2 linked regions of the Alligator mississippiensis genome follow. The protein of the gene in region 1 purifies or fractionates together with the protein of each later gene. This does not show direct contact. Links are inferred from orthologs where the notes say so. Each region holds a gene or a part of one and is shown on either strand. Other genes may lie near its edges.

Region 1 (12,632 bases):
AATATACCAGTATCCTCCGTACTCCTTTCTTCTGCCATCCCTATGTGAATGTTTACATCGTAGGATACCGGAGGATTTTTGTTATACAGTGGAAGAAAGATTACTTGGGAAACCCTGGATTAGCAAAGTAACAAATAACTGGTTTACTAAGAGGCATATAAAAACATACTAATTATTTGTTACTTTGCTTCTCTCCTCAGTATTAATATTTATTGTGTGACACAGGAGAAAAACCCTCTGGTACACACTCTGTTGTGCTGCAAGATGCTTGGTTATCCATAGGAAAATGTTGTCATCTCCAGGGATGGGCTGTCATCTATAGACAAGTGGTGTCATCTGATGGAGAACCAAGAAATTAAGTCATTTGCCCACAGTCACATACAAAGTCTGTGGTAGAACAAGGGACTAAGTCCCTGACCCACATTAACTACTGGGCTGCCCTTTTGTCATGGAAGTATCTATGTGTTTCCCTTCTGAGAGCCGGGTGGTTCAATATTGTTAAAGGTTACTAGGCACATTCTTGTAGCGTACAGATCCCCAAACCAAAAATAATACAAAAGTCAACAGATGTTTCTCTATATATTTTTAAGCATTATCAGACCACAGGCTCCAAATCATATATATGCACATCCTCACTGATATTTTTTGTGCTCCGGGTAAAATGACAAGAACCCCCTTCTGCAAATGCAGCTGACCTTCCTTGAACCCTCTTCCCCATGTTATGCTAATGCCATTTGGTTTATGATCTGGCCAGAAAACCAGAACAGAATGAAATCCAGTGAAAGGGACTGTTACGCTTTCAAAAAAAGGGAGATGAGAAGGGAGGAAAACAAGTGACCATACATTCTAACATCTTCAGATCAGACTCTCTTCAACTGAAGCTCCCCCCAACATCTCATTTCAAGTGACTTTACAATAAAAGACTGCACCTGTCAGACTGAATCAAGTCAGGAAATTGGTCCCCGGGCACTGTGGAAACAAAGGAAGGGCGTAAATGTCCTTAAGCTGCATCTTGCTGAAATCTACCATTTGTATGCAGCTCCCAACCAGCTCAGCTGAGACCTGGAGCCACTGCAAAGGGCAGCTAGTGCACAGTGAAAATTGAAAGTCCATTTGTCCTGCAGATGCGCAGGCTTACCTTTGAGGACCAGGGATTTCAGGGTCCTCAGGGCAGGCAAGATGGCCAGCGTGGAGATTATGAGGTCCTCGTTGCAGTTCAACCGCAGGAACTCCACCTGAGTCACTTCCTTCCTTTGCTTGTCAAACAGGTCAAGAAACTGGTGACAGCCGTCAGGATAAACGTCCAGGTTAAGCCTGTTGCCTGCAAGGCGAGATCCATCCAGCTCGGGAGCCACCAAAATGCCCTCCCCCAAACCATCCCCAGGCTCTTGCAGCTTGGCCATCTTCTGCTGTCGGTCTGCTGGGGACCAAGCATGTTCTGACTTGCCAGGCGGGCAAGCACTGGCAGCACCACTGCAAGGCAGCCGTGAAAAGGAGACAGGAGGCTCTGAAAAAAGAGGACAAAGCACTCAGTGAAGCCCTGTACATATGGGCACTGTATTTATTTCACCACAGATTGACAGAAGAAGGGGGGGTGGAATAGCCACCAAGAAAGCATTCCCTCCCTTTAGACAGAAAACAAAGCCACCTCCAAGAATTTCATCGGTGTAGTCACCCAGGCAAAAAGAGACTTTAATCAGATAATGATGAATACCGAAAGGGTCACATCTTAGGTTAGCAGATCTCAAAGTACTTGGCAAAGGAGGATGGTATCATTGTCCCCAAAATACAAATTGGGGATACTGAGGCACAGAGTGATGGAGAGATACGCCCAAGGTTAACCAGTAGACCAGTGGCAGAATTAGGACTGGACCCCCTCAGCCCTGTCTTCAGTCTACAGAGTGATGGTGCATGGCTGTGCAAGTAGGAGCAAGGCCATGCGGGTCAAGCCAAGCCATGTCAGGCCAGAGAAGATGACACTAAGTAAGCCTGAAGCTGAAGCGTACCAGAAAGAAGAGCTACTGGCACTCCTCTGGATCATCCAAGGAATTAAAGGGAGATTTGGGAGATAGTTTCATAGTTTGTAGGGTCAGAAAGGACCTTGACAGATCATCAAGTCTGACCCCTTGCCATGGCAGGAAAGAGTACTGGGGTCAAACGACCCGGCAAGGCATCTATCTAGCCTCCTCTTAAGGACCCCCAGGGTAGGAGCCAGCACCACTTCTCTTGCAAGTTGAGTCCAGATCCTAGCTGCCCTGACTGTGAAGTAGCACCTCCTGATGTCTAGCCTGAATCTACCCTCTGCCAGCTTGTGACCGTTATTTCTAGTCACTCCTGGTAGTGCTTGGGGGAACAGGGACTCCCCCAATGCCTGCTGGTCCCCTCTGACTAGTTTGTAACAGGCCACTAGATCCCCCTTCAGCCTTCTCTTGTGGAGGCTGAACAGGTTCAGGTCCCTTAGCTTCTCCTTGTAGGGCCTGCCTTGCTGACCCCGATCATGCGAGTGGCCCTCCTCTGGACCCTCTCAATGCTGTCTACATCCCTCCTGAAGTGTGGCACCCAGAACTGGACGCAGTACTCCAACTGCGGCCTGACCGGTGCCACAGAGAGGGGGAGGATCACCTCCTTGGACCTGCCTGAGATGCATCTGTGGATGCATGACAAGGTGTGGTTGGCCTTCCTGACCGCGTCCCCACACTGTTGGCCCATGTTCATTTTGGCATCAATAATGATTCCAAGATCCTTTTCTGCCTCTGCACTGACAAGAAGGGAGTTCCCCAGCCTGTAGGTCTGCTGCGGGTTCTTCCTCCCCAGGTGCAGCACCTTGTACTTGTCAGTGTTGAAATCCACCCTGTTCTCATCCGCCCACCTCTGTAACCTGTTTAGGTTCAATTGCAGTCTATTCCTCCCTTCTAGCGTGCCCACATCCCCGTGTCATCTGCAAATTTGAACAGGGTGCTTTTTACCCCCTTGTCCAAGTCACTGATGAAGATGTTGAATGGTGCAGGTCTGAGGACCAAGCCCTGGGGGACCCCACTGCCCACATCCCTCCAGGTTGAAAATGACCCATCCACCACCACTCTCTGGGTGCAGCCCTCCAGCCAGTTAGTGACTCATTTGACTGTGTAGGTGTCGATACCACAGTCCCCTAGTTTTTTAATGAGAATGGGGTGAGAGACAGTCTTGAAGGCCTTCCTGAAGTCCAGAAAGACTACATTCACTGCTATCCTACGTCTAAGAATTTTGTGACCTGGTCGTAGAAGGCCACCAGGTTGGTCTGACAGGACCTGCCTCTAATGAACCCATGTTGGTTGCCCCTAAGCATAACTTCCCCTGCGGTCCCTCGTGGACATGCGCCAGGATAACTCTCTCAAAAAGCTTTCCCAGGACTGAGGTAAGACTAACTGGCCTATAGTTTCCTGGGTCCTTCTTCCTTTCTTTTTTGAAAATGGGAACCACATTGGCCCTTTTCCAGTCCTCCAGCACCTCACCAGAGCACCACGAGTGCTCGTAGAGCTATGCCAGAGGTCCCACAATGACCTCTGCTAATTCCCTCAGCACTCTGGGGTGGGTCGTCAGGACCAGCTGATTTAAATACATCCAGTCTCTCCAGAAGTTCCTTGACTAGATCCTCACTGACCCTGGGCCTGGGTGCACCTCCACCGGGGCCTGCGGGGGTCCCGGCGGACGGGCTGATTTGGTCCCTGTTGAGGAAAATGGAGGCAAGATGCTAATGCCAGAAAGGCCTGGCAGGGACTGAGGGAATATAGTGGTTGGGAATGAGCCCAGCAGGATGTTGCATTGGGAAGGACCAGCTGCAGGAGACTGCATGCCAGCAGACCCTGGAGCATCTTGTTTCTGAGCAGCACTATACCCCATCAGCAAGACTCTCTCCTCACAAGGACCTGCGCGCTGATAACAGAAGATGTGGTAGGGGAGTCAAGGATAGAAACTGGGAGTGAGACAGAAGTTTGACTTCTGTGGTGGCCATATGGACTGCACCGCACCTGAAAAAGGGGGCTGGGGTGCGTGGTCAAGCACTCAAATGGATGCTCTTTGTGCAAATGAGGAGTGCCTTCAACTGCTACTGAAACACATGAAGCAACATCCATTTTTTTAAGTATCAATATCTTGCAAGGACCGCAGCCAAGAAGCACAGATGTGGTCAATAAAAACCCAAGTTCCAGCCTGGAAGCAGACAACAGACAGAACTTTTTCCCTCCCATCAGCAACCTACGTAATTCTTAAAGGGAGAAAAATGAATAAGGACAACACAATATGGTCTACTATTACAGTAAGGGATAATGTACAAGGATTCATGCAATATTCTTACGTGGACTCTCTACTCCTTTGCTGCATAATAGGAAATAAACATTTGCTTAAAATGTGCAGAGACAAAGGAGGGGAAAAAATCTCAGTTTATGCACTAGCAGGTAGCAGGAAGAGCAGTGGAGGCCACGCACACAGCCTTCCAGGATAAGAAGGGCTTGACAAGAGTCTGCTTACTGTGATAGTGGACAGTATCATATTATCCTCATTCATTTTTTTTCCTTTAAGAATTACGCAGGTTGCTGAAGTGGGAAAAAAGTTCTGTCTGTTGTCTGCTTCCAGCCTGGAACCTGGGTTTTTACTGACCACATTGACAGTATGAACTGAAAGAAAGCTCACCTTTACAGCCTCCTTCATTTGTATAGTCCGTTATCCCAGTCAAAGTGAATGTAAAAGGCAGCAGGCTGTTCTCATCTGACAACCCTAGGTTTTGGAGGGGGCAGCATCATTTACCCATTTGCAGCAGAGGAGGAAATGTCATACAGTGAGCCCCAGTGGTCACCCACCAAAGCAGGGGCAGAGTCAGGAGTGCAACCCAGCCCTCTGCTGTCTAATGCTCCAGCCACTGAGGCCCCTGCCACCCATTACATACATTCTGCAACCAATGGGTGAACCCCGCAATAAATTTAGACTGGTCACCCATGCAAAGAAAGACCATACCGGAAAAACATCCATCCAGCTGTGAAGAGAGCCACCCAGCTACGAAGCGAGGGCTTGAAAATGTGCGACAACTTCGTAGCTGGTTTCTATCTGGCATTCATTTGAATGTGTGGCAGGGCCCCAAATGACACTGCCGCTCCAGGGCACTTGGGGCACAAGCCATGGCATCGTCCCTGAGCTGCCCTGGGGGTGAAAGTCCCAGAAGCCCAGAATGACAGACTCCCGGTGGGGGGGGGGGGGAGGGGAGGCAGCCCCCAACACCTGGCACTAGAGGAGGGGGAAAAAGACAGGGGCGGGGGAGGAACTCTTAGATCCACACACACGCACACACAGATCCAAGACTGCAGCCTGCCCCTTCTCCTTTGCACGCACACACATCCAAGATCAGAGCTTGTTCCCCTGCACACACCCCCAAGATCACAGCCTGCCCCTTCCCCCCTTACACACACACACACACACACACACATACACGCAAGATTGCAGCTTGCCCCTTCCCCGCTTCCCCCCAAGCCTACTGTGCGCGGGCCGATGCAGCAGGGAAACCTCCCCTTCCGCCCAGCAAACTTTACAACAAGTTTGCTAGCCGGGAAGCGGCGCGGGGTGGGGGGCGAGCCAGGCAGGCCGGGTCCCGGGGGCAGGAGGAAGGAGCGATCCCCCTGCCCCGTCGCCCTGCGGGAGCACGTGGGCGCGGGCCGGCCGTGGGGCTCTTACCGGGTCCGGCCGCCGGCGCGCCACTGATCCGAGCCCGGCCCGGCCCCGGGACAGGCCCTCCCTTGGCTTAAAGACGCAGCCCCGCTCAAGTGCATCTCAATCAGGGGCTCCGGAGTGCGGCCAAGGTCATAGCACGACAGGAAAGTAGGGCTGCGAGGGACCTCATGAGACCATCCAGTCCAGCCCCCTGCTCAAGGCAGGATCATCCCTGACTAGGCCATAAGCGACCCCCTAGGGAACTAGTGTGCTGGCCATTTGAACAGAGAAGACTGACCGTGCCCCACTCCCACCTCGGCAGACACTACAGTCCAGGATCAGCAAATGGGACAAAACAGGCTGATGGAAGAAGACGGTAGAGTTGGGAAAGAGGTGGCAACTATTAAATAAAGATGGGCAGAAAAGGAGATCTTGAAACTCCAGGCAACCCAACCAAGTACACACATGCTCCAGGCTAGGAAGGGACAAGAGGGTTTTAAACAAAAAACATTTTGGGGGGGATTGGCCTCTGATCTGCTGGCCACCTTCTCCCTGTTGTGCCAGGGGGAGGAGGATGAGGGGCTGTGGAGCTGCTAGCTGCTCCTGGGAGGGAAGGGGCTCAAAAGAACCCCTCTTGCGTGGTTTGAATGTGCATAGACAGGTGATTCTCAACCAGAGTGGTGGTAGTCCCTGGGGTGCCTTGAGAGCCTTTTAGGGGTGCTCCAGGGTACCACTGCAAGGTATGCAAGCATGCCCCAAGACATAAACCTGGAGATTTCAGGCAGGAATTTAGCAACAAAAACACTGTGATCCATTGTGGTGGTTCCAGGTTCTTTGCAACAGAAGGATTGCTGTTATTTTTCTGTGAAAAATGAGTGAAAACCAAGAACTGGCCTTTACCAAGAGTCTAAGGAGAGATGCTCTGAGTCTAAAAAGGTTGAGAACTACTGATATATGGGTTGCTGCACATACACAGAGGAATTTTCTTACAGAATTCTAGGACTGGAAGGGACCTCAAAGGCTATCTAGTCCAAACCCCTGTGCAGATGTAGGATGTGCTGTCCATAAACCATCCTACACATATCCCATGGAGCCACTACCTGAAAAGTTCCCAGAAATTATATTCCTGAGATGTGATCCCCATCTCCTTTGCTGCTCATAATAATACATCAATTACATTCATAAAGGCATTTTGATGTACCTCTGTTGGTAGCACTGATTATTATTGTTGCTCTGTTGGCCTAAATGGTTAGTCAAAATGTGGTGTCTATTCAGGCTACTTTTGGTAAAAGGACATATTTTTCTTCTTCTTTGGCAATCCCTTACAGTCGAAGATGACAGTCTTCCATGACTGTCTTACTGTGTGTCCGAAGATGGCTGATGAGACCCATCCTGGATCAACGGACTTTATTGCAGCTCAGACATGTGTTTCTGTGTGGGGTGGTTGGTGCTAGATTTTTTATTTGGTCCACAATACGCTGTTTCTGCTGCTCCCACTTCTCCATCTCCTGTTGTCGTTGTGAGGTTTCAAAGTACTGAGATCCCTGCAGCAGACTCTTCCTCTCCTTGGGGCGGTCCTGGGCGATAGTCTCCCATGAGTTGACACTGATGCTGCATTTTTTTAAGTTGGCTTTGAGGACCTTCCCTGAAGCACTTTCTCTGTGCTCCTCTTGAGTGTATACATTGGCTGAGCTGGGATATATCAATCAGAAATGGCTTTAGTGTAATCATGTTTAGAGACAATGGATATGCACAAAGTAGAACACAGTAGCAGCAAAACACAGCTGGTGGTTTGTGTGTTCAGAAATTCAAGCATGTTCAAGCATGTGCCCAAAAGAAGCTGTGACCCCAGTTCCTCACAAGGCTGTGTACACAACAGCTTCTCTCACGATCAGCTGGTTTCCTCTTGGCTCTTGGTCTCTCTCTCCTACGGGCACAGTCAAACTCCTAATCTTCTAACCCCTCTGTTTATAACCAATCCCAGGAGCATCCCTAAAACCACCTAAGTTTACTCAGGCTCTGCCCAGGGTCCTTCTGCCTTTGGTGATGGTCTCCTATTGTTTCCTGTTATCATAACATAAATGTGTATAACTGTTATTTCCACTTAACTTGAATGAAGGGTAGCTGGCCTACCAATCAGATTTGGCCAGCTCTGTGACTGATAGCAACCATTATCATCATCTCCTATTATTTACTGCCAAAAAAGGCCCAGCCAGGATCAAAGCTCTGTGGCATTAATAAATGCTGTAATAAATACGTCGTCAAGCATGGTCCGTGCTCTGATGTAATTTAATTCTCTCTTCTAATCAATAAGCCACATGAATGTACTTGTCAGGATGTATAGACTTCAGAGTGGTCTGAATAATCCTATATAAATGTGTTGTGACATTCATGTGGTGCAATAGTAGGTAGGGTGAATGTTAGCATCCATCTCTGAGTAAGGATGGAATAACGAGTGCAACAGGAGCAACTAGAACCCAGCCATTTGCTGGATGGTAATAAATATGTGGATGATTTCTGGTGAGTTGGACTGATCGTTCAAGGAAAAGGTGTGGTGCTGGGCTGATAAAGACAATGTATTCACATGGGTGGTAGCATTCTGACAGTGTTGAGTAAGGCTGCCTGGCAGAAGCTAAATCACAGTGACTATGGAGAGCTGCAATGTTTTGAACTCTGTGGCTGTGATAAATCATGTGTTTGGTTTCTGTGATAGGAGGCTTGGGTCTCCATCCAGCAGCAAGGGCTCTGCAGACAGAATATCTCTTGGCTTAAGTGGGGTTATGTAGGAATGTAGCTTCCTTCAAGATTTTAGTGTCTAGTAGTTGTTTGGTTTTTTTTTTGAAAGACGGACAGCATCCCTGTAGGCTGTTATTTAGGCTGACTACATGGCTTACATCCCTGAGTGCATCTGCTTTTGAAAGTGGACTTGGAAAAATGCAGTCTGCTGGACATAACATTCAACTTCTGGTATTTATTTAGGTGTAAACAACTCATCTATCGGTCCACTAGCAAATCCTCAGTATACAACGGTAAAAAAATTGCTTCTCTATATCTTAATAATACAAGGCCTGATACTGCAGTCATTGAATTTAGTATCACTAGAATTCCTTTCTATATAAATAAATCAATAAGGCTCCTGGTGGCACAGCTACAGTTAAAGGCCATGCTGAGAAGTCAAAAGAGCTGAATTTAAGTTTGTCCTTATCTAGTTACTATGTAGCCTTGAATGAGAAAACAGACTCACATTTTCACCACTTCGTAGGATCTTAATACCCCTCCTTCTATTCTCTCACTTGCTATCTTGATGATTCAAGATGCTTGCTGCTAAAAAAAAGCCCCACAAAACTTGTTCTATTCCAAAAAATGCATATATAAAATTGTTACAATCTTCCCAGTGAGACCTTATTAATTCACTGGTCAAAATAATTGTTGCTCTTAGCTTGCAGAGCTAACTCAGTTCAGATAGTGGTGGCTAGAGACTATCCTAGCTTGCATCAGTTGCAGAATTGAGAATTAAATTCCAATAGCAGGGACAAATCACACAAATAGCACGGACGTAATGGTGAGAGCTGACAATAGGATTTTATTGCTGACAATTTATAATCCAGGAAGAAACTCTGATTGCAGCCTGGATTTGTAGGGCTAGCATTTAGAAAAAAATACTTGACTGTATTTTAAATGTGTGAGATATGGGCAAATTATAGCTAGTTAAAAACCAAATTCCAAGAAAATTATTGAGAAAACAAATGTTTTCTTTTCTGTTTCCATTTTTCTATTAAGAATTTTAAAGCTGAAATCTCTGTGGGGGGAGTGGGTGGTATCTCATTTCAGTGGGCTTAAAAGAAACTATTTCCAATAAAAAAGTAATTGCTATTTTTAAAACCTATTTTTAAGACACCCAAATCCTATTCAGAAAAAAATAGTTCTAACTTCTTCAAAACAGTCTCTGCTCAATATTTGGTTTTGAACAGTTTTAATCACAAGAACAGTCATGCAATCTATTGTTTTTTTTAATCAACTACTCTTCAAGCTTATGACTTAAATGGGGGGAAAATGTGACATTGATCAGTACGTCTCTGTTCCTCTGCGTGAAGACTAGGCTTGAGCATTTCAGTACAAGGTATTGGAGTCCAGATATCAAATGCATTGTCCCTGCAACTCTCATTTGGGTCACGACCTGAGGTTGAGAACCACTGCTCTAGGTGGAAAGGAATCAGAAAGCTAGAGATAGTCTAATGTACAGGCCAATTCCACCCCCTCCCCCTTTTTAATTATTTATTAACACAAACACATAACCAGAACAAAACACAGATGTAAAGAACAAAGTAAGAAGCGCACATTTTGGGGTACAAGCTGTGTGACTGCCTACTTAAACCAGTGAGGCTCAAGCCGGGTGCTGCAATGCCTTGAGATCCTTTCAAGGGAGATGCAAGGTGCTACACCATGTGAGCACTCAGGCGTGCAAACGTGAGTCACAAGATAAGCCCCCAAATAGGAATCCTGTAGCATTCACGCCATTCTGCCCTGCTGTGGGTTTTCCAAGCTCACTGCAGCAGAACGGTACCGTTATTTTTCTGCAGCCAAAAACCGAGTGAAAGCTGAAAGCTGGCGTTTTCCGAGGGGCACCTGGAGTCTTTTGAGGGGCACTTCAAGTCTGAAAAGGTTAAGAAGCACTGGCCTAAACACTGCAGCGACTTCCCTCCAGGTCCCTGACCCTCAGGTCATGCTGAGGAGGGGGACCGGAACGCTGTTTCCATTTCTGAACAGATATGACATTTCCCTATAACCCAATAGCCTTTTGTTTATTAAATTGGAAGGAAACCCCCCCGTAAGGAATTTCTCCTACAAATGTGGCACCTGCCTCTTGCAGGAAAGCACCTGTGCGGGTTTCACAGATCCTCCCAGCCAGGGGCTGGCTGGTGTCTGCAGAGAAGCAGCAGAGGGTGTGCACCCACATACAAACAGGCACTTAAGGCACCTAGGTAACTACTTCATACCCCAGCAGCCCGCTCACTAAAGGGCGAGGCATCTAGCACCACACACACGCTATAACTTCTCCCCCATAGAACAGGCATCATAGCCTCACCTCTAGTGTCATGGCCGCTAGAACACCTCGTCCTCTCATTGGCTGCCTGGCTTTCGCCGCTTTGCCCAATGGCGGCGTGGCTTGTTGAGGAGTGACGGGAAGAATTCTCCCTACTCGCCCTTCCCTTTCCCTTTTCACCGCCGGCCTGGTACGGCAAGCACACGCTGCTGGGCCCAGCTCCTGTCCGAACTCCCTTTCCCGCCCTCGGTCAAGTGAGTGTGCGAGCCCGCTCCCCCCCATATCCTATAGTGGGCGCGCCCAGAACCCCCTCTCGCTAGTGCCGTCAGTGGGGAGCGAGGCCTGGGCGAGACCATGCGGGGGGGGGGGGGTAGCAGCCACGTGCTCTCCCAGCCTCCCTGCCTCACGGCCCTGGGAGGGGGCTGTAGTGGGGAGGAGAGGGGCAGGAGGGGCGTGGGGGTATTACTACGCTCCCCCTTACACCCCCACCAAGAACGGCCGCTTCTCCCCCACTGCAGGGGACTGGATGAGGGGTGCAGCCTGACACAGCAGAGCCTGTCAGCATAGCACTTTAATGCCCAGTAGCCTATTGTACTGTGCATTAAAGCGTCACATAAGAAATGTGCGATTGCACTAATGCATAGTACAGTAGGCTATTGTGCATTAAGCATCACTTAAAAACTGCACGTTTGTTACTGTGCATTAAGGCAGCTTAATGCGCACTTGTTTGGTACCTCAGGAGGTACTAAATTTAATGTCCATTAGGAAAAGCACTTCAACACACGTGTAGATGCTCCCAGTTTTTTCTTCTCCAGACTAAATATGCCCAGTTCCCTCAGCCTCTCCTTATAAGTCATGCCCAGCTCCCTAATTTCCCTCTTGCCGTAACGTGCCTGCTTGCCAGCTCGTGTGAGGCTGACATTTGTGTCCTAGGCTGTCGGAAAATGGGAACCTGAGGCAGGTGGCCTGGTTTACCGATGCATTTGCCAGGGGCTGGATGTCCTGCTGTACCTGCTTTCTTCTTGGAAAGTTTTTATGTTCCTAAGTATGTAGAAATCACAGAGGTACTAAGGAGCAGTGATTTAGACCTGACTCCCTTCCCCTCCTGAAATCACATGCACACCACAGTCAGCCTTCCCTTCACTTGTGTTTTGCTTCCTATGGAGACCCTGCTTTTGATCATAGTAAAGACCAGGCCTGAGAGAGTGGGAGACAAGCCTCCTGTGCCTTCAGACACTAGAGTTGTTGTCTTAACGGTTCTCGTGCTGTTACAGGATGCGTTACGTTGCGGCTTACCTGCTGGCCATCCTTGGGGGCAACGAGTCCCCCACGTCAAAGGACTTGAAGAAGATCCTGGACAGCGTAGGCATTGAGACTGATGATGAACGCGTGAACAAGGTGATGATTCTTGCTGCTGATCATGTGTTGCCTAAATTAGTTTCTGAATTTAAAACCATTTTAGAGCTTCTGGGCTCTTCTTTTGCTTTAAGGGAGTACCTACAAATACTTGTTCCTTTCCAAATGCCACTGTACAGTGACAGTCTCTCAAATGCCTCATACACTTTGCTGCTTTAGTTCTCTGGCTTTCTTTAGTCCAGACTGAGCGACTTTGCCAAACTGAGCTTTTAGAAGCTACTTACTTCTAATAGATCTAGCTGTCAGTTAGCAGAAGCTATGTAATGTCTGGTTTGCAATGACAAAAAAAATTCTGCTCCAATTAGAGTTGAGGTGGCAGTGTCCTAGTGGAGGTTGCACCTTTGTGGAAAAAATAACAGAATAATATCTTCATCTATGGAGAGTTATGCATACACATGACATTATCTATGCCCCAGAGAAGGCCTCGTTTCTTCTGCAAGGAACATAAACATTTGCACATGATAAATAAAGACAAGATGGTGCATGGATAGTGTTA
Region 2 (12,203 bases), on another chromosome or scaffold:
ACACACACATCCAGAGCCAGACATGCGTGCACACACAGACGCACAGAACCAGAGGCAGACAAACATACAGAACCAGATGCATGGGTGCACAGAGCCGGGCTGCTGGGCCACCAGACAAAGTCCGACCCAACAATGCCCTGGGCCTGCCAGAGCCCCTGTGCTTCCTTGGGGAGCCAGCCCCCGGGCTGCAGTATGGCCAGCCGAGGCCCCGGCCCAGAGCCTACCAATCAGCCCAACCACCTACCCACTCCACACACCTAAGCCCACAAATGTGCGGCACTCCTGGCAAGGGGCAGTGCCAGCCTCATCCCAGTACAGCGGCTGGGCCAGCGCTGGGCTTGGAGCAGGTAGGAATCAGGCCAGCTCAGCTGCAAGCCCTGCTGCAAGGAGCCCGGCTCCGTAGTTGACAGCAGTTACCCAGAGCTGGGGCTGGCTGCAGCCAGGAGTCTGCAACCAGCTGCACGCGTGCCTTGTGGGGGGGGGAGGGGGAAACAGGCCTGAGGCAGCACAACCCCAGCCTCTCCCCTGCTGCCGGCACAAAGCTGATGACTGAGCTCTGGAGCCTGCAGCAGCTGCTAGTTGCCAGCCTGGGCTCTGAGCCACTGCAGCAGGCAGGCTGCAAACAGCTGGGCCAGGCTCCAGCATCAGCTCTGTACTGGCACGTGCACACATGACTTGGAGCAGGCTGCGGGAAGGGCCCAAGGCAGTGCAACTCCAGTCTCTCCCCCGCTACCAGCAGGCTCTGGAGCCCAGTGCAGCTGTTTGTAGCCTGCCTGGGCTCTGGGCAGCTGAATCAAGCAGCAGGCAGGCTCTACAGCTCCGGCATCAGCTCCATGTTGGCAGTGACTGTGCGTGTAGTTCAGAGTGGCCATGTCTCTGGAACACATTGGCATACGCTGACAGAACCATGCTCGTGGGAAGCTCCTCAAGCACCAGCCCCACCACCCACTTGCGCAGGAGGCAGAGGAAGGGCTCGAGGGCAATGGTAGAACTAGCCTTACAGCGGGCAGCCTTGATGCACTCCCCAGCTGAATGGGATGGGCTCCATCAGTATCCAGTTGTGCTGGACCATACGCTCTGCAGAGGTGTACAGCACCTGGAGAAACCAAATGAAGCAGGGACCAAAGCCAAACACCCTCTCAGCATGCCTGTGAGGTAGCCAAGATCCGCCCTGTCAAACACCATCTTCTGGTCAAGGGACAGGAAGGCAAATGACAGGCTGTCCCTACAAGCAAGCTTGAGGAGATCCTGCACTAGGTACAGGATGCTGAAGATGGAGCTCCCTGGAACTGTTTACATCTGGTCACATTCACCCACACATATCTCAGGTGCAGCGAAATGGCTTTTGCTATGACCTTGCAGTCTGCAGAGAGAAGTGAAACTACGTGCCAGTTCCTCAGGTTGAGGGAAGAGGGTCCCTTTTTCTAGCCAGCAGGGTCAGGACAGCCCTCCTTCACAACAGGGGGAGCTCCCCATCCCTTTCAGACACAGCCCAAACCCCAGCTAGGTCTGGGTTGAGGACATCCAAGAAGGCACAGCAGAACTCCACAGTCAGTCTGTCAATGCCCAGAGCTTTGTTGGTGGGCATCAGATGGAAAGCATCCAAGAGCCTGGCCAGGGTGACAGGACACTTGAGCAAGTCCTGGTTGACCAGGAAAACCTATGGCAGTACCTTCCCACAGGACCTGGCAGCCATATCAGCATTGGCCAGATATGATGAGAAGAGCTCTGCATAGAAAGCCCTCACCCTTCGTTGCAGTTCACCAGAGTCCATGAGGTAGGTGCCATCCTCCGTCAGGAGACAAGTGATGTACCTCTTGGCACCCCTCCTCTTCTCTAGAGCACAGAAGCAGTAGAAGCCACAGTCCAGTCCACCTCCCAAAGGAGCTTGATGCGTGAGCAGATGAATGCACCGCAGGTGCAGCAGTCATGCAGAGCACAAAGCTCCTTCCCCCTCTCAACACTCTCCACGCAGGGATGCATAGTTTGGGTCAGCAACCAGGCAATTCTCCAGCTCCTGAACTTCCCTCTTGAGCTGCTCTCTAGCAGCTGTTAGGTGCGCCCCCGATGTAGAAGCAACAGTACTGCCTGACACAAACCTACCTCATGTCCCACCATCTCTGGGTCAAGGGAAATGCTTGCCGCTGCCTGCACCAGGCCAGCCAGAACTCCTGGAAGGTGACCAAAGACCACATTTTCCAGCAGGCTGTTGCTAAAATGCCAGGAAGCCAGCCTTGGATGCTCAGGCTGCAGAGTAACCTGAGTGCATACCAGATGATGGTCACTGAAGGGGGCCAGCCTAGTGCTGGAGGCATGGACTTGGGCGGTATTTAGCATGGACCTGGGCGGTATTTAGCATGGACCAGTAGATTCAATTCAACTGAGTAGATTCAATTCAACAATTCAGGGTATCCGTTACTCCTCCACCCTGACAAAGGTGAAGGTGGTGGTGTTGTCAAGATGGTTCACGCACCTGGGTGGCATTGGTGCCCTCCCCATAGTCCTGGGGAAGGGAATCCTCCCCATCGGGGCCCACTGGCACGAGCCCCTGGACTCCCATCTCCCCCAGGTGGTCGGAGTGGGGGTCTCTGCCATCAGACCTGCCCCAGGGTGGCTGGGGCTGAGGTCCAGTGCCTGTAGTAGTTGGGGGCAGGTCAAAGCCGGCTGAGTTGGGGGGAGGGAGTCTTCTCCATAGGCTAATCTAACATAGGATGGCCTTGCCATCCTGGGCCCTCTTCCATGTTGGTAACAGTTATCTTTTTTATTTTTCCTGGAGGTGGGATTCCTGGTGCAGCTCGGGAGGTGGTGGGTATAACATCAATGTCAGCCCTCCTCTTGGATGGTGGGAGGGGGAGCCTCCTTCATACTGGAGGGCCCAAGCTGCGTCTGGGCTTTGCACTTTACCTTGCAATGGATGGTAGATCACCACCCATGTGGGACCAGCACCCAGCCAGCCTCAGGGTGGCCTGAGGAGGGGTCTTCCTGAGATGCTGGAAGTATCGTGGGGCTAGGAGGGAGTAGCAGTGGTGGGGGCTGGTGTGCCCCCCTCCCTGCTTTGGGACCCCACTGGTGGCTGTGGCATTGGGGGGGGGGGGGGGTGTCTCCTGAGCTTGCCAAGGGATTGGATGCTAGGGCTGGGTTGCCAGTGGTGGTGGTACCTCTCTGCTTGGGGGGTGGGAGTGCTGTGGTGCCCCCCATCGCTAACTGAGGGGACATTCTTGGCAGAGGTGCCCCAGTACCCAGTACCAGAAGTACCTAACTTCCACCACCATATAGTTAATGTGGTTGAGGGACCCCTGGAAGGAGACAATAAAGGTCCCCCCTTCACCTCCAGCTGGATGGTGACTTGACCATACACTATGCAGAGGCATACAGCACCTGAAGGTGGTGGAAGGACTGGATGTGGGGGGAGGTTGGGGTCCTGGCACCCCAGCAGGAGAGTGGTGACCAGGGATAGAACTCTCCCCAGGCTTTGCAGGAAGGGCATGAGGGCCCAATTAGGGACGTAAGGGGGTGGGGCTGAAGACCACCCGAGTTCCCAGCTCCTCCAGGGGCTTGAGTGGGACACGCTTTCCCCCCCACACTGCAAACCTCTTCTCTGCCGCTTCCTGTATGGCAGCCTCCATGGCAAGGTAAATGATAACCTTGCGGTAGTATCTGGAGACTGTCAATCTCCAGGGGCCCCCACTGCCTGAGTGAGCTCACATAGTTCTCAAACGGTGGTGGCTTAATCTCAGGCATGTCGCAGTGCACCCCACTGTGCCTGCTGATGCTGGGGAGGGGACCCCAACTGCCTGAGGATGTGTGGGCAGAAGTGGAAGAGGGCCCAGGCTCCGAGGCTGCAAGCTTCCCTGCAGCCACCTAGGAATAGCTCCAACTGCTGAGCTGAGCAGCCCTGCTTGCAGAGATGAAGGAAGACTGAGTGGGAGGGGCACCTGCAAGTGTTGCTAACTGGACTTTCTTTGTAGGCCCTTTACTCTTCCCACCCCCTGTGGAGGAGGAAGAAGAGGAGCCCTTGCCCTTTCCCCTGCCCTGGTTGGGCTTGGGGGCTCCATGGCCCCCCTCGAAGAGAGACTGGCCAGTGGGGAAACCCCTGCCCCTGCAGGGTCTTCCCCAGCATATTGGCAGCTCCCTCAAGGGACTCTTGCCATATCATGGGAGGCTAGGTTGGAAGCAGCGGTCGCAGGAGAAAATATTATGTGGGTGCTGGGGTTGCGAGTGCATGGCAGGATGCGGAGAAGTAGTGCAGAGATGCCCCTCCCCCTCACTCGGGGCTGTTGCGGGGCTGATGCATGGCAAGTACACTGGGCATGCCAGTGGTGCTGGAGCAATGGAGCTGCGTTTGGGGGGGCTAAGCCCCATTAGCCGCAGCCTTCTGCTGCCTATGGTGGGAAGGAGTCAGGTGGGGTGTGAGGGAGGGAGCTGCATGCTCCTCCTCTGCCTGGAAGGAAGAAAGTGGCTTGCTGTGGGGTGCAAGGTGCCTCCGCAGGCTGTACTGCAGGGGGGAGGAGGGGAGCTGTGGGGGGGAACACAAAAAGACAACAGGGACATATGCAGAAAAGAAAGGGAAGCATGCTGCTGACTTAGCGGATCACAAACACCAGGAGAAAGGAAGTGGAGCACAGGACCCACCACAGGAGGGTAGACACAGGGGTTGCTCCTAGACCAGCTAACAGGCAGACATTGCTGGTGGCGGCATTGTGAGGTCCCCTTTGGCTGCAGGTGGCCCTGGTCATGCAGTGGTCGTGAGGCAGGACCAAAGGAGAGAGGGCTGTAGGTCCAGCAGGAGGCGAGGGTGGGGAGAGCAGGAGCCTGCAGCAAGCAGTTCCTCAGGCCCCTGCTCCCTGGCCCAGCTGCAGCATGGGGGGGGGCGCCCCTGGTGGCCATATGAGACGGAGCAAGATGGAGCTGGGGCCCGACCCACGAAACAGCAGCTCCTCTATTCTCAGTTCAAGCTCACAAGGGCCCGCATGTGAAATGCCGCATCCCCGCGCCCTAGCCCGTGCCGTGGCCGGCTCCCGCGAGGCAGACCAGGTCCCGCAGCCCGGGAAGGGAAGCGGAGGCCGAGGCCCCGCCCTACCTGGATGGCCTCCTTCATCTCCGGCGTGAGCACGGCGCGCGCCAGCAAGTGCTCCAGCAGCTCCTGCAGCACCAGCTGCTTGGCCAGGGGCACGCGGTGCCTGCGCAGCGCCTCCTGGTGGCACGGCTGCATCCCGCACGCGCCCGACATCGGCCCGGGCTGCCCCGCGCCGCGCCGGGACTGGGGGCTGCTCCGAGCGCTCAGTGCGCCAGCCCGACGGCCCCGCGCCCAGCCCGCCCAGCGCTTCCGCCCCGCTTGCCAAAGCCCGTGTCAAATCAGCGCGCATACGCGGCCGCGCCCAACCAGCTCTGCAACTCGTGGTCACGTGAGCGCCTGCGCGCGAAATCTCCACTTCGCCGCCATAGCGGTTTCCGGCACGGAACAATGGAGTCCCGTGTACGCGTGCGCCGCTGTTCTTGTGGCGGAGTGGTCGCGTGCAGCCCGACCCAGCAGGAGGCGAGGGTGGGGAGAGCAGGAGCCTGCAGCGGGCAGCTCCTCAGGCTCCTGCTCCTTGGCCTAGCTGCGGCATCGCAGGAGGGGAAGCAGGCGGGAAGGCGGTACTGGACGCTGTGAAGAAAGCACAGAAAGCCCCTGGCTGGGAAATCCCGGGAATCAGGGGTTTTCTGGGTTTGATGCCCACTCAGTGCTTTGGTCTCGGTACAGTACGTTGCTGCGAGGTCCCTGCCGTAGCCTACTCGAAAGGCATCAGAACCAGTTCAGAAAGACGGTATTACAAGAGTACGAAGCCCATGCGGATGGCTCACGCGTGTCCTAGAAATGGTAGCAGCGTTTCAAGGACTTTGAATTTAGTAGATTGCCAGCGTGTCCTCCCTTCCCCCCCAATGCCCTTGAGGCTGGTCCCTAGAGTGGCTGGCAGGTGGTACGTGGTCTATGATAACCCCAGGGTGGGGTGGTGTTTACCTGGTATAGGCAAGGGACTTGATCTCACAAGGAAAGCATCACTGTGGAGGGTCTGGTAAGAAGTCTAGCTAAGCCGATTCAGTTCCCTGCCAAGAGAGGTTTGCTGTTCTTGCGGGCGTGAGGGACCCACTCCTTCAAGCATTCTCAGACTCCTGGCAGATGTGAATATAATGCTGTGATTGGGATCTGAGGAATTTCGTGCCCGATCCCTGAAATCGCATGTTCTTCCATCCCAGACATGCATGAAAGGACATGTGATTTTTGGGATGGGACATAAAATTCCTCAGATTCCAGTTGTGTAACTGCCACAGCCAAACTGGACCAAGCTGGGGGCAGCTAAGTCTTGGATCTCAGGGCTGCCTCCTGCCTGATCCCAACCCTCAGTTGATCATCAGGATCAGATGTAGAGCAGTACCCAGTCCCAGTTTGAGATCCAAGGATCAGGTAGGGGTAGTCATGTCCTGACCTTGCCTTATACCTGATCCCAACAATCAGCTAATTGGGATCAGGCATAGAGCAGTCCCAAAACCTGCCACGTGCTCAATTTAAAGTGATTCAATCCACATTTAATATGGAACATCTCCATGGCTGGTTTGCTATTTATGAAGTCATAAATTGGCTAATATGTCGCATCTAATTAATCACATGATTAACAGTTTTCTTGTGCAATAAATGAAACATCTGCCAGGGCCTTCCAGCCCATATTGGTTCAATATATAGTTGAATACTTCACAAGGATAGGTTTCTAACTCCTCTGGGAAAATGAGGGTTTGTGAATTAGCTGAGAGTATGTATAGCTGCTGCAATTTCATAGATTTCATAGACATTAGGGCTGGAAGGGACCTCGGAAGATCATCGAGTCCAGCCCTCTGCCCAAAGGGCAGGAAGTCAGCTGGGGTCATAGGATCCCAGCAAGATGAGCATCCAGTTTCATCTTGAAGGTGTTCAATGAAGGCGCTTGGACAACCTCTGGTGGCAGGCTGTTCCAGACCTTGGGGGCTCGGACAGTAAAGAAATTCTTCCTTATGTCCAGCCTGAAACGATCTTGTAGTAGTTTGTGACCATTCGTCCTCGTCATCCCTTGGGGCGCTCTGGTGAACAAACGTTCCTCCAGATACTGGTGGTCATCCCTGATAAACTTATAGGTGGCCATCAGATCACCCCTGAACCTGCGTTTTTCCAGGCTAAAGAGCCCCAGGGCTCTCAGCCTGTCATCGTAGGGTCTGCTTCCCTGACCTCTGATCATGCGCATGGCTCTTCTCTGGACTCTCTCAAGCTTCTCCACATCCTTTTTGAATTGTGGAGCCCAAAACTGGACGCAGTACTCCAGCTGCGGCCTCACTAAGGCCGAGTACAGGGGGAGAATGACGTCCCGGGATTTGCTTGAGAAGCATCTATGGATGCAAGCCAGCATTTTGGTCGCTTTACTAGCCGCAGCATCGCATTGCAGGCTCATGTTCATCTTGTGGTCAATGATGACCCCCAAGTCTCTTTCTTCCATAGTGCTAGCCAACACAGCACTGCCGAGCCTATAAGGATGCTGCGGGTTTTTTTTCCCCAAGGTGGAGAACCTTGCACTTATCGGCATTGAACACCATCAGATTCTCATCCGCCCACTTGCTGAGCCTGTCCAGGTCAGCCTGGATCATCCGCCTGTCTTCTGGTGTGGATGCTTTGCCCCAAAGTTTGGTGTCATCTGCGAACTTGGCCAGTCCGCTTCTGACTCCAGCGTCCACATCATTAATGAAGATGTTGAACAGTATGGGTCCAAGGACAGAGCCCTGGGGGACCCCACTGGTCACAGGACACCACGATGAGTGACTTCCAACAATTACTACCCTCTGGGTCCAACCCCGGAGCCAATTTTCCAGCCAGTGGATCGTGGAGGACCCAAGGCGACAATTGGCCAGTTTCTCCAAAAGACGATCATGGGACACCAGATAGAAGGCTTTTTTGAAGTCAAGATATATGACATCAATCTCATCTCCCTTGTCCAGGTGATAGGTCACCTGGTTGTAGAAGGAAATGAGATTGGTCAAGCAAGACCTACCCGCAACAAACCCGTGCTGGCTATCCCTTAAGATGTTGGCGTCGGCCAGTCCATTAAGGATGGCCTCCTTAATAAACTTTCTAAGATCTTCCCCGGGATAGAAGTCAGGCTGATGGGCCTATAGTTAGCCGGATCCACTTTCCTCCCTTTCTTGAAGATAGGCACCACATTGGCCTTCTTCCAGTCTTCGGGCACTACACCAGAACACCAAGAGTTTTCAAAGATCCGCGCTAGGGGCTGGGCTATGATGCTCGCCAGCTCCTTGAGTACCCTGGGGTGAAGATTGTCAGGGCCGGCTGACTTGAAGGTATCCAGCTTCTCAAGATGTTCCTTCACAAAGTCAGCATTAATGGAGGGCAGGGGATCACCCTCACCCGGACTTCCCGGCCCTGTAGCGGGCATGGGCATCCCATGGGGCTGATGAAAGACTGACGCAAAGTACCTATTTAATAGGTTGGCTTTTTCCTGAGTGTCAGTTGCCCCATCTGGTTCAGCAGGGTCCAACATTGCCCCTGCTTTTCCTCCGGCTCCCCACATATCTGAAAAAGGACTTTTTATTGTCCTTGATGCTCAAAGCTAGCTGGAGTTCAGTTGCAGCCTTGGCTTTCCTGGTCTGCTCCCTACAGGACCAGACCAGTGCAGAATAATCCTCCTTGGAGGTGACTCCCATCCTCCATCCTTTGTAGGCCTTTCTTTTTAGCCTCAGGAGGTCTGCTAGGTCCCTGGAGAGCCAGGGGGGCTGCTGTGCCCTCTTGCTGCCTTTCCTCTGAGATGCAATAGACTTAGTTTGTGCATTGAGGATCACTCCCTTGAGGAGCAACCACTCTTCTTGAACTCCCCTCTCCCTGTGGTCACAGTCCCTTAGGGCCTCACTGACAAGCCTCCTGAGCTTGTCAAAGTCGGCTTTCCTGAAGTCAAGGACTTCCGTGTTGCTGATTTGCCAGCTTTTCGGCGGATGGTGAAGGTGATCAGCTCGTGGTCGCTGTCACCCAGCTTCCCATCAATCACTAGGTCGCCGACTAGGTCATCCCCAGTAGCCAGTACCAGGTCGAGCAGCGCTTTGCCTCTCGTTGGCCCATAGACTTCTTGAGTCAGGTAGAGGTCATCCACGTACAAGAGGAAGCTCTGCGACCGCTCAGATTTTGCTGAGCAATCCTCCCACGAGATGTCCGGGTAATTGAAGTCACCCATGACAACCATGGCCCTGGAGCAAGCTGCCTCAGCCGGTTCCTGGGCAAACTCCTGGTCAAGCTCAGGACTTTAGGTACAGAACCAGTGAATTTCTGAGTGGAACTTCTCCAGTCAACTCCAGTCAGACCACTTCTCCAATCAACTGTATGAGACCACTGATGAGCTTCAGCTGATAAAAGAAACAGAGCCATTTGAGGTAAAATCTGCAGCAAAAAGCTGAATGGGTTCACTTTAATTAGGCAACCCACTGCAAACAAATAATTCAGGTCCTGTATAGTTCTACTCTTCCACCCACTCCGAAGACTTATTTTCTCTGACTTCATACAAGTCTTTAATTTACTCTCTGCATTTAAAACTCCTCCCCCAGATAGATTTCAATATGAAGGATTCTGGGAGGACTCTGGGAGAGACTTTCCACTCAGCTGGAAATTACAAGGTGTGATAGTCACAATATATGTTACCTGAGATGCTTATGACCAAAGGGACTATGGTTTTCATGGAATCATGAGGTTAGAAGGGCTATCAAAGGTCATTTAGACCACCTAGTTTTGTAGAAACACATTCATTTCTTCTACCCTCAGGCTCCAAAAATCCATTGTTCAAATAATGCCACCTTTTCCTCTAGCCCTGGTCCTTTTCATAAGATGACCAAGTCAGCTGCCCAATGGAGTGGTGCTGAATGGTTACCCACTATATTGCAGGGAAACGTTAGTTTCCAATGTGAGTTGATTTTTCTTAATCTAAATTCATAGGGCTGGATTTTTTAGAAATAATTTATATTTATAGAGCGTTATATATTCAAAGTGCTTCCAGTCATTAACTAATTACATTTCACAATGCTGCTATGACGCAAGTATTATTATAGGGAAACTAGAGTGACTCAGCAGCAGAAGTAGCAATTGAATTCCTGCCCTAGAGCTATGGCTATCCAGAAACACCCTAGAAGTAGGAGATAGCTTAAATTAGAGCGTTATGTGGCTCACTGGGATATATTCCCTTTCTTAATATAAAAGACAAGGTATCTAGTCTTTATGGCTGTAGAGCTAAAACTACAAGTGTGAACAAGTTATATAACCCATGAAGTTATGTCTGTCCACATCTTCAAAAAGCTTGAAATCAATGTTACTGTAGCCTTCTATTGCTCTGATTACACAGTTAGCTCTAAGAGCCAACAGTGCCACTTAGCCACTGTCAATATTAATTTCTTAGTCACGTTACCTCTTTTAAACCAAACCGTTCAAGGCTCTGCAGATTGTTTAACAGAAGGATTAATTAATGACTGAGGCAGCTTCGACGCAATCCTTTTCATTTAAAGATGATGTACAAAGTCCTGTTTCCTTGAACAAAAAGGAATCAACTAATAGAAAATTAATTTGCTCTCAACTCCCAAGACTTTCAACCTGCGCTCAGCCAACAAGTTCTTATTCTGGGGTTTTCCTCATGGCCATAGTCGGTGCTTTATGGCTTTCTGCCTTATGCATACCCTGCCACTAAAACAATATGTATTCCTCTCCAATATAGTTTGGCTTAGTCATGTTACACAGCTTACATATGGGCAATCTAACGTGACATCAAAGAGCCAGACCCCAGGGCAATGAATCATGGGTCAATGACTGGCATTAAGGTCAAAAGCCAGCAGAAGCCACAGACAGAGCAACACTCATGAAGACTACAGTTGTGCTAAGGAGTCTGCAGGCCATTTTTCACATGGTTCAGTTGCCTAGTTCAGCCTATGAGGTAGCATGCAGGTAGCCTGCCTGACGCACCAAACTGGTCAATCAGACAGGGCAAGGGTTGCACGTATATTTTTTGGTTTGGGTAGTAGCATGTGTCTCTATTTGGCATGGAGGCTACTGAAAAAATGTTAAAATGTTGGGCAGACACTTGACTGGAATGTTTTAGTTAGGAATGATCCTGCCATGAACAGGGGGCTGAACTAGCACTGCTTTCCTTTTGGGTCCCTTCTAGCACTGCTTTCCTTTTGATCCTATAAATCTGTGGTATGTGTACTTTTGTACACATCATCAATCACCTTACCCTTAAGACTAAATCACAAAAAGCAGCAAGCAGGGGGATCTATTTCCCCCCCACCCCTTCCCCTTGAGCAGGGTGGAATAGGATGACACTTAGTGCCTAATAGATGGAATATAATGTTGTTCTATGAGGCTAAAGGACTGCCAAGTAAAGCCATCATGATCTTCCCCTTTGACTTCCTGCAAGTTATAGGCTACAGAACTTCTTGCAGTAATTAGTGCATCTAACTCAATGAGCTCTGGTTAAGCTATAGCATACCTTGATTTAAAGACTTCAAGTAATAGAGAATCTACCACAGCCCTCAATGAGCTGCTTTAGTAGCTCATTACCATCGTTCTTAAAACACCAAATGTTATTTCATGTTTGAACGTTTCTAGCTGTGCCCTTCAGAAATAATGTAAGACCACCTTGTACATGTCAGCTTAACTGGCTGGCCTTTTGGTAGTGCAGTCATCCCATTCTACTTGCCAGGCAATCAAGCAGCCTGGCGTCTATTTTAATTTCTGCCAAGACTGTAACTGCAGTCAGGAAACTTCAGTACAAATATTTAAAAAAACCAGGCTACTAATTTGAGTGCTTACATTCTGAGGCACTTAGCTTGATTGAAAGAAGTACTGAATTCCTCTAACTTAAATTGGAATGAGCAGAAGTTGCAGGTTCTGAATACCTCTGAAAATCATACCCTTTTATGATTCAGTTTGAGTTCCCCAAAACTGCAGCATTCATCAAACGTGGACACTTTTAAGAAAGTTGAACTTCACTACACTTCAGTTTCTTTGGCTTCAAAATGTGGGTAATAATGCTTTGTCACTATTTGTCAGGAACTTTGAAAAAGTACAGATCAGTTACTGTATTAACCTTCCCTACATTGAGCTAGTAAAATGACTTTCCAGTAGAGGGCAGCAACATCTTCCCTCTTCACTGTAA

Evidence for each region.
Region 2: the proteins of PIDD1 (region 1) and CASP2 purify together in Homo sapiens (affinity purification with western blotting; 5 studies listed by BioGRID and IntAct, with this or other methods). This does not show direct contact. The link is inferred for Alligator mississippiensis from reciprocal best matches to the Homo sapiens genes PIDD1 and CASP2.

Annotation. Positions count from the first base shown.
Region 1 is NC_081825.1:183,900,969-183,913,600, forward strand, and holds the start of PIDD1 (p53-induced death domain-containing protein 1), read right to left. Parts: upstream 5,411-12,632; 5' UTR 5,087-5,410; coding exon 4,990-5,086; intron 4,753-4,989; coding exon 4,669-4,752; intron 1,508-4,668; coding exon 1,139-1,507; intron 1-1,138. Other genes in the region: RPLP2 (large ribosomal subunit protein P2), read left to right, coding at 11,996-12,118. UniProt on the Homo sapiens protein: Component of the DNA damage/stress response pathway that functions downstream of p53/TP53 and can either promote cell survival or apoptosis.
Region 2 is NC_081827.1:153,830,106-153,842,308, reverse strand, and holds the start of CASP2 (caspase-2), read right to left. Parts: upstream 5,403-12,203; 5' UTR 5,231-5,402; coding exon 5,081-5,230; intron 1-5,080. UniProt on the Homo sapiens protein: Is a regulator of the cascade of caspases responsible for apoptosis execution. Might function by either activating some proteins required for cell death or inactivating proteins necessary for cell survival.